Linked DNA regions of Caenorhabditis elegans. The protein of the gene in region 2 purifies or fractionates together with the protein of the main gene of each other region. This does not show direct contact. Each region holds a gene or a part of one and is shown on either strand. Other genes may lie near its edges. The genes, in order: sds-22 and gsp-1.

What was found.
Region 1: the proteins of gsp-1 (region 2) and sds-22 purify together in Caenorhabditis elegans (affinity purification with western blotting, with the first as the bait; one study listed by BioGRID). This does not show direct contact.

Annotation. Positions count from the first base shown.
Region 1 is NC_003280.10:7,856,095-7,861,746, reverse strand, and holds sds-22 (Protein phosphatase 1 regulatory subunit SDS22 homolog), read right to left. Parts: upstream 3,347-5,652; 5' UTR 3,328-3,346; coding exon 3,211-3,327; intron 3,160-3,210; coding exon 3,094-3,159; intron 3,046-3,093; coding exon 2,888-3,045; intron 2,846-2,887; coding exon 2,714-2,845; intron 2,669-2,713; coding exon 2,440-2,668; intron 2,394-2,439; coding exon 2,307-2,393; intron 2,261-2,306; coding exon 2,069-2,260; 3' UTR 1,994-2,068; downstream 1-1,993. Other genes in the region: Spindle apparatus protein lin-5, read right to left, coding at 1-235, 284-901, 948-1,087; T09A5.15 (Small integral membrane protein 26), read right to left, coding at 3,509-3,787; Chromo domain-containing protein cec-3, read left to right, coding at 4,278-4,287, 4,332-4,447, 4,492-4,757, 4,899-5,274, 5,325-5,397, 5,447-5,563, 5,607-5,652. UniProt on the Caenorhabditis elegans protein: Regulatory subunit of protein phosphatase 1.
Region 2 is NC_003283.11:10,679,070-10,687,649, reverse strand, and holds gsp-1 (Serine/threonine-protein phosphatase PP1-alpha), read right to left. Parts: upstream 5,229-8,580; 5' UTR 5,122-5,228; coding exon 5,067-5,121; intron 4,737-5,066; coding exon 4,605-4,736; intron 4,346-4,604; coding exon 4,115-4,345; intron 3,405-4,114; coding exon 2,941-3,404; intron 1,909-2,940; coding exon 1,801-1,908; 3' UTR 1,145-1,800; downstream 1-1,144. UniProt on the Caenorhabditis elegans protein: Serine/threonine-protein phosphatase which antagonizes the function of air-2 in the regulation of chromosome cohesion. Dephosphorylates histone H3 at 'Ser-10'. Dephosphorylates translation initiation factor eIF2alpha.

The DNA.
Region 1 (5,652 bases), on a different chromosome or scaffold from region 2:
ATTGTCTTCGGTCACCGTTTTCAGCTTAGCAGTAAGATTCTCTTTCTTTATGTCAGCTTCCTCCAGACTTCTTTGCTCGGATCTCAACGTCATTCGAGATTCATTGAGTTGTTGGAGAATGTTGTGGACTTCATCCTTTTTGGCTTCGAGATCACAGCTCAATTCTTCAGCACGAAATTGTGCCTCCTCGGCGATACCTTTCAGTTTAGCGATGTCGCTTTTCAGATCGGAATTCCTAAAATATTTTCTCCATATTTTAAATTCAATGTACCATTTTACTTACGAAAGCTTCAAAGTTCTGTTCTCAGCCGATAACTTGGTCTTGTCATCTTCAAGGTCTCCTAACATTTGCTCCAAACCAAAGATTCTCGCTTTAGACTGCTTCAGCTCCCGCTCGCTTCGCATGAACTTCATGGTAGGGGAATCGACAGCCTCCGCTATAGGGCTTCGCCGAGCAGTTGAGGAAGCTGTGCGTAGTCGCCGGGCAGTAGCTGTTGGTGTTTGCAATGATGTCAAGCTGTAGTTGTTCCTTTTCGGAGTCCTGAAGCCACTGGATGCTTCCTGATCTTCGTCATCTCTCCGAAGACATGCCCACCAGTCGTCAGCGGTACTTTCCGAATACACGTTGTCGAAAAACAAAAACATATCAAGAAGCACAGCTGTGTCGACGCGATTCTCTGATGACGCTTGCTCCAATGCGCGAGTGAGCATTCCCGAGTGATCCTTTCTCATATACTCGAGAAACAGAGCGTAGAATTTGCAAATCTCCAGTGAATCTCCGCTCGCTGCAAGCTTCGGTTCCAATGAATCGGTCATGAAGCTGAGACTCGTTGTGGCGATTTTGCGGAAGATAACTTCATAGAATTTGTCAGCTGTGCCAAACTCCCGAGTGTCGCATGACCTGAAAAATAAAATATGAAATTGTTTATGAATGAGCTATTACTTACATCATACTGGCGATCATACTCCCGTGCCTCTCCCAAAGCTCGGCTAATGAGCTGATTGTCTCCGTCTTCGGTGTGAAATTGGAGCCAAAATAGTTCGTCAATTGTAGCATTGACTTCACAACTGATGTGCTCACGCTCATTCTGCAGAAGGAGTAATTATTCAAAGAAAATGCGAGTGGTTGAGCGAAAGAACGAGAGAGAACGCATACATAAACGAAGAATATTTAAAAGACGCACGCAGAATGTCTGCGTCTCTTACACCATGCTCGTACACTTTTCTCACGACACTTCTAAAAACAGCGGGAATTCAAATGACAATTTTTCCATGGACCTGCAGGTCAACATGCACAAGTCTACCAAAAAAATATTAAAAGGACGAATAATAAATAAAAATGAAGCTGTTAAAAAGTGGGATGACACACTGATTGAAATGAACATTAGAGGAATCTAACATGAAAAATAAAACCAAAAATGCGCGCGCGCGCGAAAATGGTTTCATTCTTTATTTATAAAACCATGTGAAAGATTATGTGCATGCGCCTTTTAAAAAAACCGTATACACATTGCTGAGTTTGAAATTATTTAATGAAAACAAAGAAAGAACATTCCTTTTTTAGGGGACAAAGTTAAGTGCGCCTTCCAATAAAATCTTTATTTTCACAACAAAAAATCTTACAGTAGCTTTCATTTCATATATGTTTAATACTTTTCGAGGAAACTTCTTGATTGTTCTCAAAAGAAAAGCTCTGTAATTGACACACTTTAAGTTTTCAGGCATGGAAAGTTGGTTTTGGTTCATATTTATTTAGCGAGAAGAATAAATAATTTCTTCTTAAAATCTCACCGCACCGTCTAAAAACTACTGCATTATTCTCAAAGTATGAAACCTTTTTCAAACTCTTGATTAGTCGTTTTTTTTTTAAATTTTCATTAGCTGATAATATCTGGCCATTTCGATTGGCTTCGCCCATATGGAGGTCGATTATGATTCATTTGCGATTCCTCTTAATAACCTTACACTTTGTTCTCAATATCAAACAATGAAGCAAACTGATACATATTTATGAAAGATTATCATGGATAAGAAAAGCAAACGGATATTTATTGGAAGCGTCCGAGAGTTATTCAATTGGCTTTCTGCACGTAGTAGCATCAATTTGAGTTACTTGGGTGAGGGTCATCATAACTTTTCTGCGATATTGGTTTGTATCATTGAAATAGAACGGGTTTCTCTCCAAGTATACAGTTTGAAGACCCTTTAACTTTGAAAGTTGCTCAATTTCGGAGAAGCTTTCCACTTTGTTGTCGTTTGCCTGCAATAATAAAAGATATAGAAGAAACGTAAAATGTCTCGGTTACCCAGAAATCATTAAGACTTTCTAGTCTTTCAACGCCACTGAACGTTTTGATTTCGTTATTTGCAACATCCAAAAGAAGTAAATTAGTCTGCAAAAAAGACCCATTTCTCAGTGTATTTTGAATTGCTTTTTACCAGAGGTTCGACGCCATGAATATCTTGTAGACCCTGATCACTGAGGTAAAGTTCCTTCAGATTATTCAGTTGCTCAACATTTTCAATTTTCACAATACGATTTCCCGGCAAGCTGAGAACACTGAGCTTCTGCAAGGTCTCCACTCCCTCCAACTGACGAATTTTATTTTTGCCGATAAATAATTCATCCAAATTTACAAGGTGACCAATGTTCTCGATTTTCTTGATTCTGAACACAATTTGTGATTTTGATGTTGAAACATTCCATATTTACCGATTATCTCCCAGTTCGAGCAGTTTGAGCTGCGTCAAAGCTTCTAAATTTTCGATTTTTTCAATTTTATTGCTGACAAGGTAAAGAGTCTCGAGCTTTGTCAATTTATCCAAGCCGTTGATTTGGCGTATTCTGAAAGTTATTATTGAAATAAAAGTTTCTTAAATTCTTCACCTGTTATAGCTCAGATCAAGAGAAACCAAATTTACGAGTGATTCGAGATGCGAAATTTCGGTCAACTGATTTTCGTACAAATCCAGGGATGTCAAAGTAACTAACGAAGAAATTGTGGGGCTAATTGAAACCAGAAGATTATTGCGCATTCTCAGTTCCTGAATATAATCATTGTATTTACACACGTATTTCTGAAGTATTCTTACCTCTATTTTCGGAAATCCAGTAAGATCTGGAATGTGATCAGCGCGAGTGTGAGTTAGATCGATTTCCTGAAACATGTTTACTTTCACCAATAAACCCAAGCGGAAAAAAAAACAAACCGGAGAATCGATATCGAATGTGCTCAAATCGAATTGATTTTTCAAAACAGGCTCTTTGGATTCTTCGTCATTTTCACGAGGAAGAACAACAACTTCAGCGGATTTGTCGTTGGACATTACTAGTAGTAATATTACTCTGAATTTGTAAGTTTCGCACAAGATTATCAGTCAGTTATAGATATTGTCAGGCGTATTTAACGCAATATTTAAGAAAGAGATCACAAGCATATCAAGACCTATATAATGTTTTTTGAAAAACTATGAAAAATACACGTAGAAAGAAACAAATGAAAAAAAGTTATTTTCGTTCGAATGGATCGATCCAGACATTTTGAGGACCAGCTTGTTGTTCTCGAGATGATCGAAGTAAGGCCCGTTCCTCTTTTTGTGCGTTTTTATAATAATCATGATGATATTTTGGATAAAGCGTTACAGCAGCTACAGCACAACATGTAACAAGTGCAGTAGCTACAACTGCCATGGATCCGAGTGTTGGCCGATTAACTTTGGCCCATTTGGGAAGACGATTCTTGACTGACAACCAAAACGGAACAGGGGCTCCTTCAGGAACGCGCATGTGTAGCTAAAATTGATTACAATATGACTTTCAGTATGTTTAATAGAATAAATTGATGGATTAATTAAAAAATGTAGTCTATAGAAACAAAAATATGTTTTCTTATTTTGGCTTCATCATTGAAGAGATTGCTCATTCTAGGACTTTTTTACCGTAGAAACAAATCTGTGAGATTCGTTAGCTGACCAGTGATCATGCTTATGAAATAAAACAAGTTAAAAAGTATTTTATAGACAATAATTGAATATTTCGAAAAAAAAACTGCAAAACTTTCACATTTTCATTATTTATCAAGAACAAATTATTTCCATTCAAGTTCCGCAATCCGGGGAAACTGAGTCTCTTTTCTCAACTCCGCTAAAGAGGGCGCGCAGCAGAACTTCGGAGCGTCGTTGCTGCTGTCGCTGAGTTTTCTTTTGAAAATTCCGTCTTATTTTCTAATCTTCAATCGATTTTAACTGTCGACTAATAATCTCTAAAAGTTGTGAAGATGAGTAATGGTATGTTTTTATTTATTTATTAAAACCTAGAATAGATTTTACAGAAGGTTCACGTGAAGAGTCTCGAGAGCCCGAAGCAAGAGAGGGAAAGTCTGACGAGATTTTTGAAGTTGAGAAGATTCTTGCTCATAAAGTTACAGATAATCTGCTAGTGCTTCAAGTAAGTCACGAAATTATTTCTTAACTTAATTGTCCACATTTTAGGTTCGTTGGTTGGGTTATGGCGCCGACGAGGATACCTGGGAACCCGAAGAAGATCTGCAAGAGTGTGCCAGCGAAGTTGTTGCAGAGTACTACAAAAAATTGAAAGTCACTGACAAAACAGAGCTTATTGAACTTCTTCAAAAGCAAATAAAAAAGAACAAATCGCAAAAATCAAAAAAGCGATCGAAGACGGTTAGTGACCATGAGTCTAACCATGACAGCGACGGTAGCTACGGTACTCCGAAGACATCGAAGAAAAGTAAAAAGTGAGCTAAATTCTTTATTAAACGACAATAGTTTGAATAGTGGTGTTGTTTTTTTTTTCAAAAATGTAAATACATCCACACGTAATTGTCGGGAATGATGCTAATGGAGAGAATTCCATTTTTTTAAATCGATTTTTGCAGATCTGCTAAAAACGAAACTCCTGTATCATCAAAAGTTCCAAAAGTCCCAACGAAAGCTGCACTCAAGTCATACGAAGCAACGGTTTCTGGTCCAGTAGCTCCAAACAATGCGAAGAAAGCTGCAATGGAAGTTCGTGATACCCGAAGAAATTGGCTTGATGAAGAATCTTCCGATGACGAGGCAGAAACTACGGCGCCACTCAGTGATGTTGAGAAAATAGCGAGCAAAGTAAAAGTAGTGAAGGCAGTTGAGGAAAAAGCAGAAGAACCTGTCAAGCGACCATCTACACCACCAAAGCCAAGAGAGGTCGTTATAAAGAAAGACCCAAGCGAAAGTCCAGTTGCCAGCGCATCTTCAGTTATCCCAACGTCTAAGGTGGGTTCGAGTGCATAAAAATAATATGTATATATATGATGTATTTTCAGAGAAAGTCTATAAATGCGGAAACATCAAATGGCCGTCAAAGAACTCTTGCTCCCCCAGTCATTGTGAAAGATGGTAAATTATTTTTTAAAATCCTCGTAAATTGTTCTTTATTACATTTCAGAAACAACCTGGACTGTTGATGGTATTGCTCGTCACACTGATGTCGACAACACTAAAACGAAGCTGATACTGATGACCAACTCCGCCACTGGTGAACGAAAAGTCGTCGAAGGAAGAGGTAAAATAGGTTATTCTCAAAGTTTCGAATCTTTCATTTTCAGAGGCATTCGAACTTGATGGTTGGGCTCTCGCCAAGTATCTCCTCGA
Region 2 (8,580 bases):
TGAGCATTTTGAAATTGGAATGCGAGGATTTTATTACACGGCAAGATTTTGCGATCTAAAAAATAAGGTCCCCGGTCTCGACACGACAAACGTTCGTTAAATGCGAAAAGGCGTGTGCCTTTAATAATTACTGTAATTTCAAGCTATTGCTTCGGAATTTTCATTAATCATTCATTGTTTGAAGAAAAATTTAATCAAGAAAACGAAAAACAAAGCATATGAATGTTAAAAAATCGTGTGAAACACTATGAACAATCTATGAAAATTCCGAAGCAACAAGAGTTTGATATTACAGTATTCATTAAAGGCGCACACGGGACCTCATTTAATTCGCAAAATCACAACAAAAGTGTTTTTTGTTAACTTTTCCTTAATAAAGAACAACACAATATTCCCAGATGTGAAAATTGTAATGACGCTGGGATACGGTACCCGGTCTCGTCACGAAAAAATGTTTTAATAAAAGCTGCGAGAAAAAAGACTGCGCCTTTAATGATTACAGTGGCGTCCATTCCGTTCTGCTGTAGAATGCAATTTTCTTCGATTTTTCACATCTTAAGATTCCTTCACATTTTTCTGTAAAATAGTTTTTTTCACATGCATACTTTAAATTTCTGAAAATAAGGAACTTTCAAAAGAAAATAAAGCGAAAAATTGAAAACATTGTGCAGCAGTCAGAAGTGTAAACTACTGTACTCTTGAAAGACGCACACTGCTTTTCACAGAAATCATTAAAAAATATTACAGTCGTGCCGGGTCCAGGTATCGTATTATTGAGTCGAATGGTTTATAAATAACATTATTTTGGCGACGAAATCCATTCTGAAAACTACCAAATAGAATTTTTAAAAAATAATTGCCCAGTTTAAAGGATTATGTGTTGCAGTTATTTCTGAAATATTAAATTTCCCTGATCTTGATTTAATGTTTCAGAAGTAATTGGTTTCCCTTGGCAGGATTCCTTCTCTTTATTCTTTTTCCATCCAACGAACATTTTATTTCTATTCTTGTACTCATTCCAAACAATGTGATTCATACTTTTTCCATTATTTTTTTGCCTGAAGACAGTATGTGTTTTATAAATACTTTGACCAAACACACACACACAAAATTTGAGTGACTGGTTCTTGCGCAAGAGAAACCTTTTGGAAAAAATATTCATTGGAATCAGTTGGAGGAAAGAAAGAAGGAAATGGGGGCGAGAAAAAGGAACGGGGGGAGCTGTCGAGAAAAATTCACTATTTTCGAATAAAAACCATAGAAAATTATCAGTGTGCGTGTTGTTGGGGCGGATCAGAATTCAATATTCTAAAAAATAAGAACGAATTCGCTCTCGTACTTTCAGAATGTTTGTGTGATTAACATTGTAAGAATAAATAAGCTGCAACTTTAAATCGGAAGGATTTTGATCCCGGTGTGTTAGGCTCACAACTAAGAATAAAACAGGATAAGAGCAAATGGAAAAAGAGAGGCAATCAGAAAAAAAATATATGAGAAAATTTAGCTAAAAATGGAGAACACAGAAGGAGAGAGAGAAAGATTTGCAATCTGTACTCGCCAGAAAAATTAAATTATATTCGATCGAGTACAGTTGCACAAAAATAGAAAATCAGAAAAGAAAATAATAATGAAGAGCATTTAAAACTCGTTTTTGTGCGGGGTGGGGTGTATTGAGGGCGAGAAAATAATAAAATGTTTGAGATAAAAGAGAAGGGAAATTCAAAAAAAACGGACAGAAAAGTAAAAATCCGAGAGAAATGAGTAAAAATGTAGGCAAAAATGTTCTTTCTCCTCATCACTTTACTTCTTACCAGCAGTCGTTCCAGGCCGTCCTCCGCCCACTGCTGGTCGTCCACTGTTCATTCCTTGATACTGATATTTCGCTTTTTTCTCCGATGGTTTCAGAATCTGTAAAATAAATAATGAATCAAATTTTTCTAATTTATTTGAAAAAAAACAATTTCAGTCTTATCCGATCAAAATTAATTCTATAAGCTTTTTGAGTATAAAATTATCTAATAATCACTGATGGTTCAGTTTGGTCATTATTTCCCGATAGGTTCAAGAGGATATTGGAAGAAAAAGAGTTTTGACGTAACATGGGATGCAACTACTTGAGTTAGATTGTTTTTTCGGGAAAAGAACAAATTGTCACTAACTGAACAATTATCAACATTATATATTTAAACATTTTAAATTTTTTCCGAAATGTAGGATTTTAATAAAGAAGTACCGTTTGATGGTACTTTTTCTCTCATATTTTGATATGGAAAAGAAAGAAGATGGAAGGTGAAATACTAATACAGCTCATTTTCGGTTCCTGAGATTTCTAAGATTTACGAAAAATTATTGATTTTTGATACAAATTTCACGAGATTTTGTGAAATATATTCAAAATTAAAGAATTTGATAGTTTTTTTCACGTGAAATACACAGCCACTAGCATTCTAATTTTCTCGATCATTTTAATACGAATTTGTAAATATGCCGGTGCCGTTTTTCTCTAAAAAGGTTCATCTCATGCTAGATTATTTCTTGATGTGATGCGAATGTTCAATGAGTTCCCAGCCAAAATTAAATTTGAAGAGCAGGAACTTTTACATAAATTCGATTTTCAATCTCACGAGGTTTCAATTTTTCGAAATCGGTTCCTCTTGACCAAGGATGCCCGACCCCTAATTTAAAAATCAATTGTAAACACATTTAGAAAATTGGTTTCTGATTTTCCATCTTGTTTGAATTTATTCCATTTCGGGGATCTGGAATATTTGGAAAAAGAATGAAATTGTTGGAACGTGTATTGACCCACGACGTGGCTAAGAAGATCGTATAACGTGAACTCTATGAACTAACTTATTTATTCCTTAGTTTAGTAATGTAATAAACTACTCGTCTTCTCTCCTTGTTCGGCCTTCGAATACATAACAGAAATATTCTTACCTGGAAACTGCACATTAATGTCTCATCAACGCTCATCATTCCACCAGCGTTATCGAATTCTCCACAATAATTTGGAGCAGAGAATAGTGTGACAAGTTGTCGCTTAGCAAAGAACTCATATCCATCTTCGACGACCTGATGAGCTCTGCATATCAGATCCAAATCATGTCTGTTCAAAAACTTTGCAACGACATCAGGTCCAAATGTGAACGAGACTCCTCTATCATTTTCTCCCCATCCGGTAACATCCTTGTCTGGATCAGACCAGAGCAAATCGCACAACAATCCAGTATCAGGAACATCGGTTGGTCGCATCACACGGCGAATTTGTTCCATATTTTGGAGATCTGGGGAGAGTCCTCCGTGACAGCAGAAGATCTTCTCATCAATGAGTGCAGCAATTGGAAGACAGTTGAAGCAATCGGTGAAAGTTTTCCACAATTTGATCGAAAAACGTCTCTTACCTGAAAATTATTTGGTTTAAAGACTTTTCAATAACAATTCCAGCAATTTTTACTTCTAAAAATTATTAAATTAAAATTTGAGGACCTGGTCGTTTTTTTTTGATATTTGATGAAAATTTGAGTATAAGAATCTGAAAAAAAGAGAAATAAGAAAATCTTCAAAATATACTGATTTTTTCAAAGAATTCAGTAGCTATTGTTCTCCAAATTTTTACATTGATTGAAAATTGTAATTATTCTGTTATTTTGAAAAAATAATTGACATAATTTTCCTTTTTTAACTATCGAAATTTGCTGATTGAACTGGACAAATTTTAATAACCCAGAATTTAATGGAATTTTTCGTTGAAATATAAATTAAAATATACACAACCGATGCATGGTTATTAAGAATCTTTTTGTCATCCGGAGAAAGTTTCTACTTGATGTGAACGGGCGTATGAAAATTTAAAAAAAAGCGAATATTTTGTTTTGGAATAATTTGTTATTACGTATCCATGTGCGGGTGAGAAAAATCGCCATATCTTAAGCGCAAAAAGCACCTGCGTCTCTTTTTCTCGCATGCTATCTAACGCCTATGCAAAACGCCTATGGCGAGAGAGCGTGTGGAGAAGAGAGACGCAGGCGTCTCCGCAGTTTTCATCAAATCATGGACACGTAATATCTCAATTAATATTTCGAATTTTCTTTAAAGCAAAAAAAAACCTTACATTCATCGTAGAATCCATAAATACGGTTAATTGAAGCACATTCGTGGTTTCCACGAAGAAGGAAAAAGTTTTCTGGATATTTGACTTTGTATGCGAGCAACAAGCAAATTGTTTCCAAGCTCTGCTTTCCACGATCGACATAATCTCCGAGGAACAAGTAATTGGCCTCTGGTGGGAATCCTCCGTATTCGAATAAACGGAGCAAGTCGTTATATTGTCCATGTATGTCTCCTAAAATTAAATATTTCTCATTCATATTGAACTTTTAGAGAAATTAACATTCTAAATTGTATGCTGCGAAACTTTTCAATGACATTCGGACTTTTTTTCCAATAATCACATACGTTCAGTGATGTTTTTACTAAATAATTGAACTATCTTTGAATTTTTAGACAGAATTTATAAATAATCGAAGACTATTGACCATATTCTCTAGTCGTCTCTTACATTGCAGACACAAAAACGGTTTTTGAATAATAAAAAAACTCACCACAAATCTTGAGAGGTGCTTCGAGTTCCAGAAGAATTGGCTGTGATAGGAAGATCTCACGAGATTTATGACAAAGAGCACGGATCTCCGCCTCCGACATGGTAACTGGCTTTCCTGGACGACATCCGCGAACTGAAAAATAATTTTATTGAAAAATCAAATTAGTCACTTAAAATAAGCTTTAAAGAGAATTAGTAAAATTTTAAATATTAATTAAATTTTTTACGACCGTAAAAATCGGAAAGTGGAAAAATGACAGAAATTATTGAAATAAATAGTTGCCAACCATAATAAATAATGATAATTGCTATATTAAACAAAATTCCTCAAAACCAGAATATTTGGAATTTCTAGTCGGAATTTCAAACAAATAAAATTCAATAAAATTTCTGAACAACTATACAGCTGGTTTAGTTCGAATGTCGATATTAGATCAATTTCTCTATTAACTTTAAAACCCACCTTCAAGAAGTCTGGTGATCAGATTGTCAATGTTTAAATCTCCATCGTTCGACATTGTTTTTGCAGCTGCAATCTCCGCGGCTTCTGTTGGTCACTTTTGATGGATGGCAAGTGATGTATGTTCTTGCAATGTTTTTGGCCGACAACTGATATTGGTTGTGGCTGAAAGATAAAAAATTAGTAACGTTGGCGTGAGAATTTAAAAAAAACTTCAAGGAAAACGTGAGAAAATTGATAAGACTAAGCTTAAAAAGCATCAAAAAACAACAGCAGTAGGATGTGATGCGTATCATTACAATTCCAAGAGGAAAAATGCAAAAATGAGAATTTTATCAAGAAATTGTAATGCGAATATAATATAGTTTTCAAATTTCCTGATTGGATTATATTTTTGAAGAATAAAAACCTTAAAGTGATTTGTTTCAATCGGAAACTCGATGACGTGATGGACACAATATTAAAATGTTTGAGAAAGAAAGAACACATGGTTTTTAACAATCGATATGCAAATTTTGAATTTGAAAAGGCAACAAACGCGTGTCGTGAAAACAAACAAAAAAACTGAATTATGTGAAATTTGTGCTATACTGTTTCTAAACATTGAAAATAGAAAACGAGCAACTGATGCCTTGAAGAAAAAAGTTTGTTGGTGTACTAAGAGAAATTCCTTCGTCCTGTGGTAGCAAAAGACAACAAAAAGAATTGGGGAGCAAACTGAGACCATATTCACTTAAACACCTGCGTCTCTCAAATTCGAAACGTGAATCACCGCTTTATGCACCTTGAGGCAAATCGAAGCTACTCTAATACTCTTTTTTTTTCTGGCCAATTTCAAGTTATACACCTATATAGTTTTATCGGAAAACGGTAACGAGACGACGCCCGTTCCTTCTCTTTGCCGTTATCAACGACCCCGAGGAGGAACATGTCATAAACACGACACCGTCGTCACAGCAGGCGGATAACTTTACAGCACTAGAAAAAGGAAATGGTGAAGATATGATAGAGAGAAAACAGAAGCTTTCAAAGAGAAACATGTGTGGCTGTAGTCAAGCAAAGTAGGTTCATCAATAGTGGAGGAAAATGAGGAGATCGGGATGAAATGCCGCGTATAAAAAGAGGAGCGAAAAGTGACGACGGACTGAGACGCATGTGTATGTGCCTGTCCCTATGTGTGAGTGTACGAGTGGAGCGAGAGACGAACGCGCGCCGATCCACCGGCCACTGCCCGCAGTATTGATCGATAACTCGCCACCGTCGTTTCCATTCTTTCGCCGAAACAATTCGCAATGTTATTGCACTACCTCCGGTGGCACGTGCGATATTGGTTCGACACTACTGACATCGTGTAAGACGTCATGGAATCAAAAACGGCGACAACTTCCGAGAAGGTTTTCTTATCACACTTTGCGCATAGTCTGTTATCTTTTGAAAAGGGTAACGCTTATTCTTGTGAGAAAAAACAACAATAAAAAACGGCTAGAGAAGCTTGAGGTGCTCTTTCTTTCTCTTCTCTAGAACAAATGGGCAAAACGAGATGTACAAGTATTTGATTTGCACGCAGAACGTTTCGAAAAGAGGAAACGACGACGAGAAAGAAAAGATTGAGAAAGGCAAACACTTCCTGTGCGGTAAAGATATACGACATTCCAGACTTTTTTCAAACAACACTTAATAAACAATTTTTTATTATTAAGCATAAAATTATGACAAATTGTATGTTTCTGCCAACAAAATGTTACAAAAAGAACTATTTACGAGCCATAAAATTTCGTAATTATTTTTCTTTTCATTGCGCGGTGTAAAACTTTTCGATGACTAATATAATGTTAACAATATAAACTAAATGATAACACATGTTATTCATATTTTAAACCAACTTCTTTTCTATTCAATCGAAATAAATAAATTCTGGAATAAATACCCCAAGAAGTCATTCAAATCACCTTAAGCCTCTATGACATTACGGAAAATAGTTATATCAAACGAAAATTATTTAAAAAAGAATAAAACTACTTGATTTCGTAACATAAACAGTTTCATAAACGAAAAAAGCGATGAAAAACATTCAAAAAATGCAATAGGACAAAAATTATTTTGAAAGTCCGCAAACACTGTTCACAAGTTGACGCACAATTGCACACAAAAAACCACCGTACTAGGCTCCTTTTTTGGAGATTTGTGAAAATTTCGGAATTACGCTTTCAAATAAACAGCTAAAAACAATTATTAGTCAAAAACTTTTCTCACGAAAATTTAGTATCATGTTCGAGCTTTGATTGAGGTGAAAGAAAACGTAAGCACATGTGAAAAAGATCGAGAGAAGGCAAAATAAGACCGAAAGGAAATGAAAAAAGAGGAGGAAAGCAGGGACGGACGGGGCAACGAGATGCTCACGTTGAGATGAGGGTCTCGAATTCAATTTATTGAATCGCGCAGAAGCAGAAGCAAAAAAAGTTGTTGACTAAACAAGTAACCGCAAGTTTTTGAGAGGGCGAAAAATAGGAAGAAAAACGAAGATGACAAGGCGCAGAGACCGGGAAGAAAAACCGTTTCTTTGGGCTCGAAGGAACGCCTTGTGCTGGAAAATAAAGACTGATTCAATCAAATGTTACTATATATGAGCATACAGATGCAATTAAGATTTTTCGTATAAAAAAGTTTAGGTACATGCTTCTAATGAAATATGTAATGAAAACAGAATGTGATTTAGTTATTCAACATACTGTAGCCGCAATTAATAAGATCACATTGAAAATATGTATCGAAAAAGTCTATGGCTAGAATCATTCGTTATTTATTTGCTATCTGCTTTCAAATAGCGCTGAGTCGACTCAGTAACTACGAGATAGAACAGAAGCCTTCAAAGACAAGTACGGTAATTGTATGTTTTTTATCAGTTGATGATTTTCAGCTAGCTTAGCTTAATTTTTAGATATTCGTGAGCAAAAAGTGAAAACTCAGCAAGTTTTTGAAGAACATTGAATCAGCTGTCCAAAAGAGTTCGTGAGTGGGAGGAGTATCAGTTTTTTAAATAAAAATTCTATATAATATTCAATCACCATATTCCAAGAAATTTTTAATTTAACATTTTTGGCTCTTTTCGAATGAATCGTTATTATAAAGGCATAAACAAACATCTCGGGAGTTTAAAATGGGAAATAACAGTGAATTCGTTATGAACTGACTGTCTCGTCTGTATTCGATGTGAAATTTCCCAATAAACGATGGGAAAGTGTCGGAACGAAGCGATAGTATAGCAATAAGGTCAGAACAATTGACGAGATTTAGAGAAATATACATCTTTCACATCACCAGCGGCAACATTCGGAATGATTCAAGTCATTCTCCGACCACTTCCTCCTAATCGAATTACGAAGAAACGTTCTGTTTCTTATTCTTCCAGATGACCAAGACTAAAAAAGAAAAATGAATCCACAGAAACAGAGAGAAAGAGAGTACAATGTGACGGCTTCAGAATACCTAATAGTAAGCATAACAGACGTTTATTTTA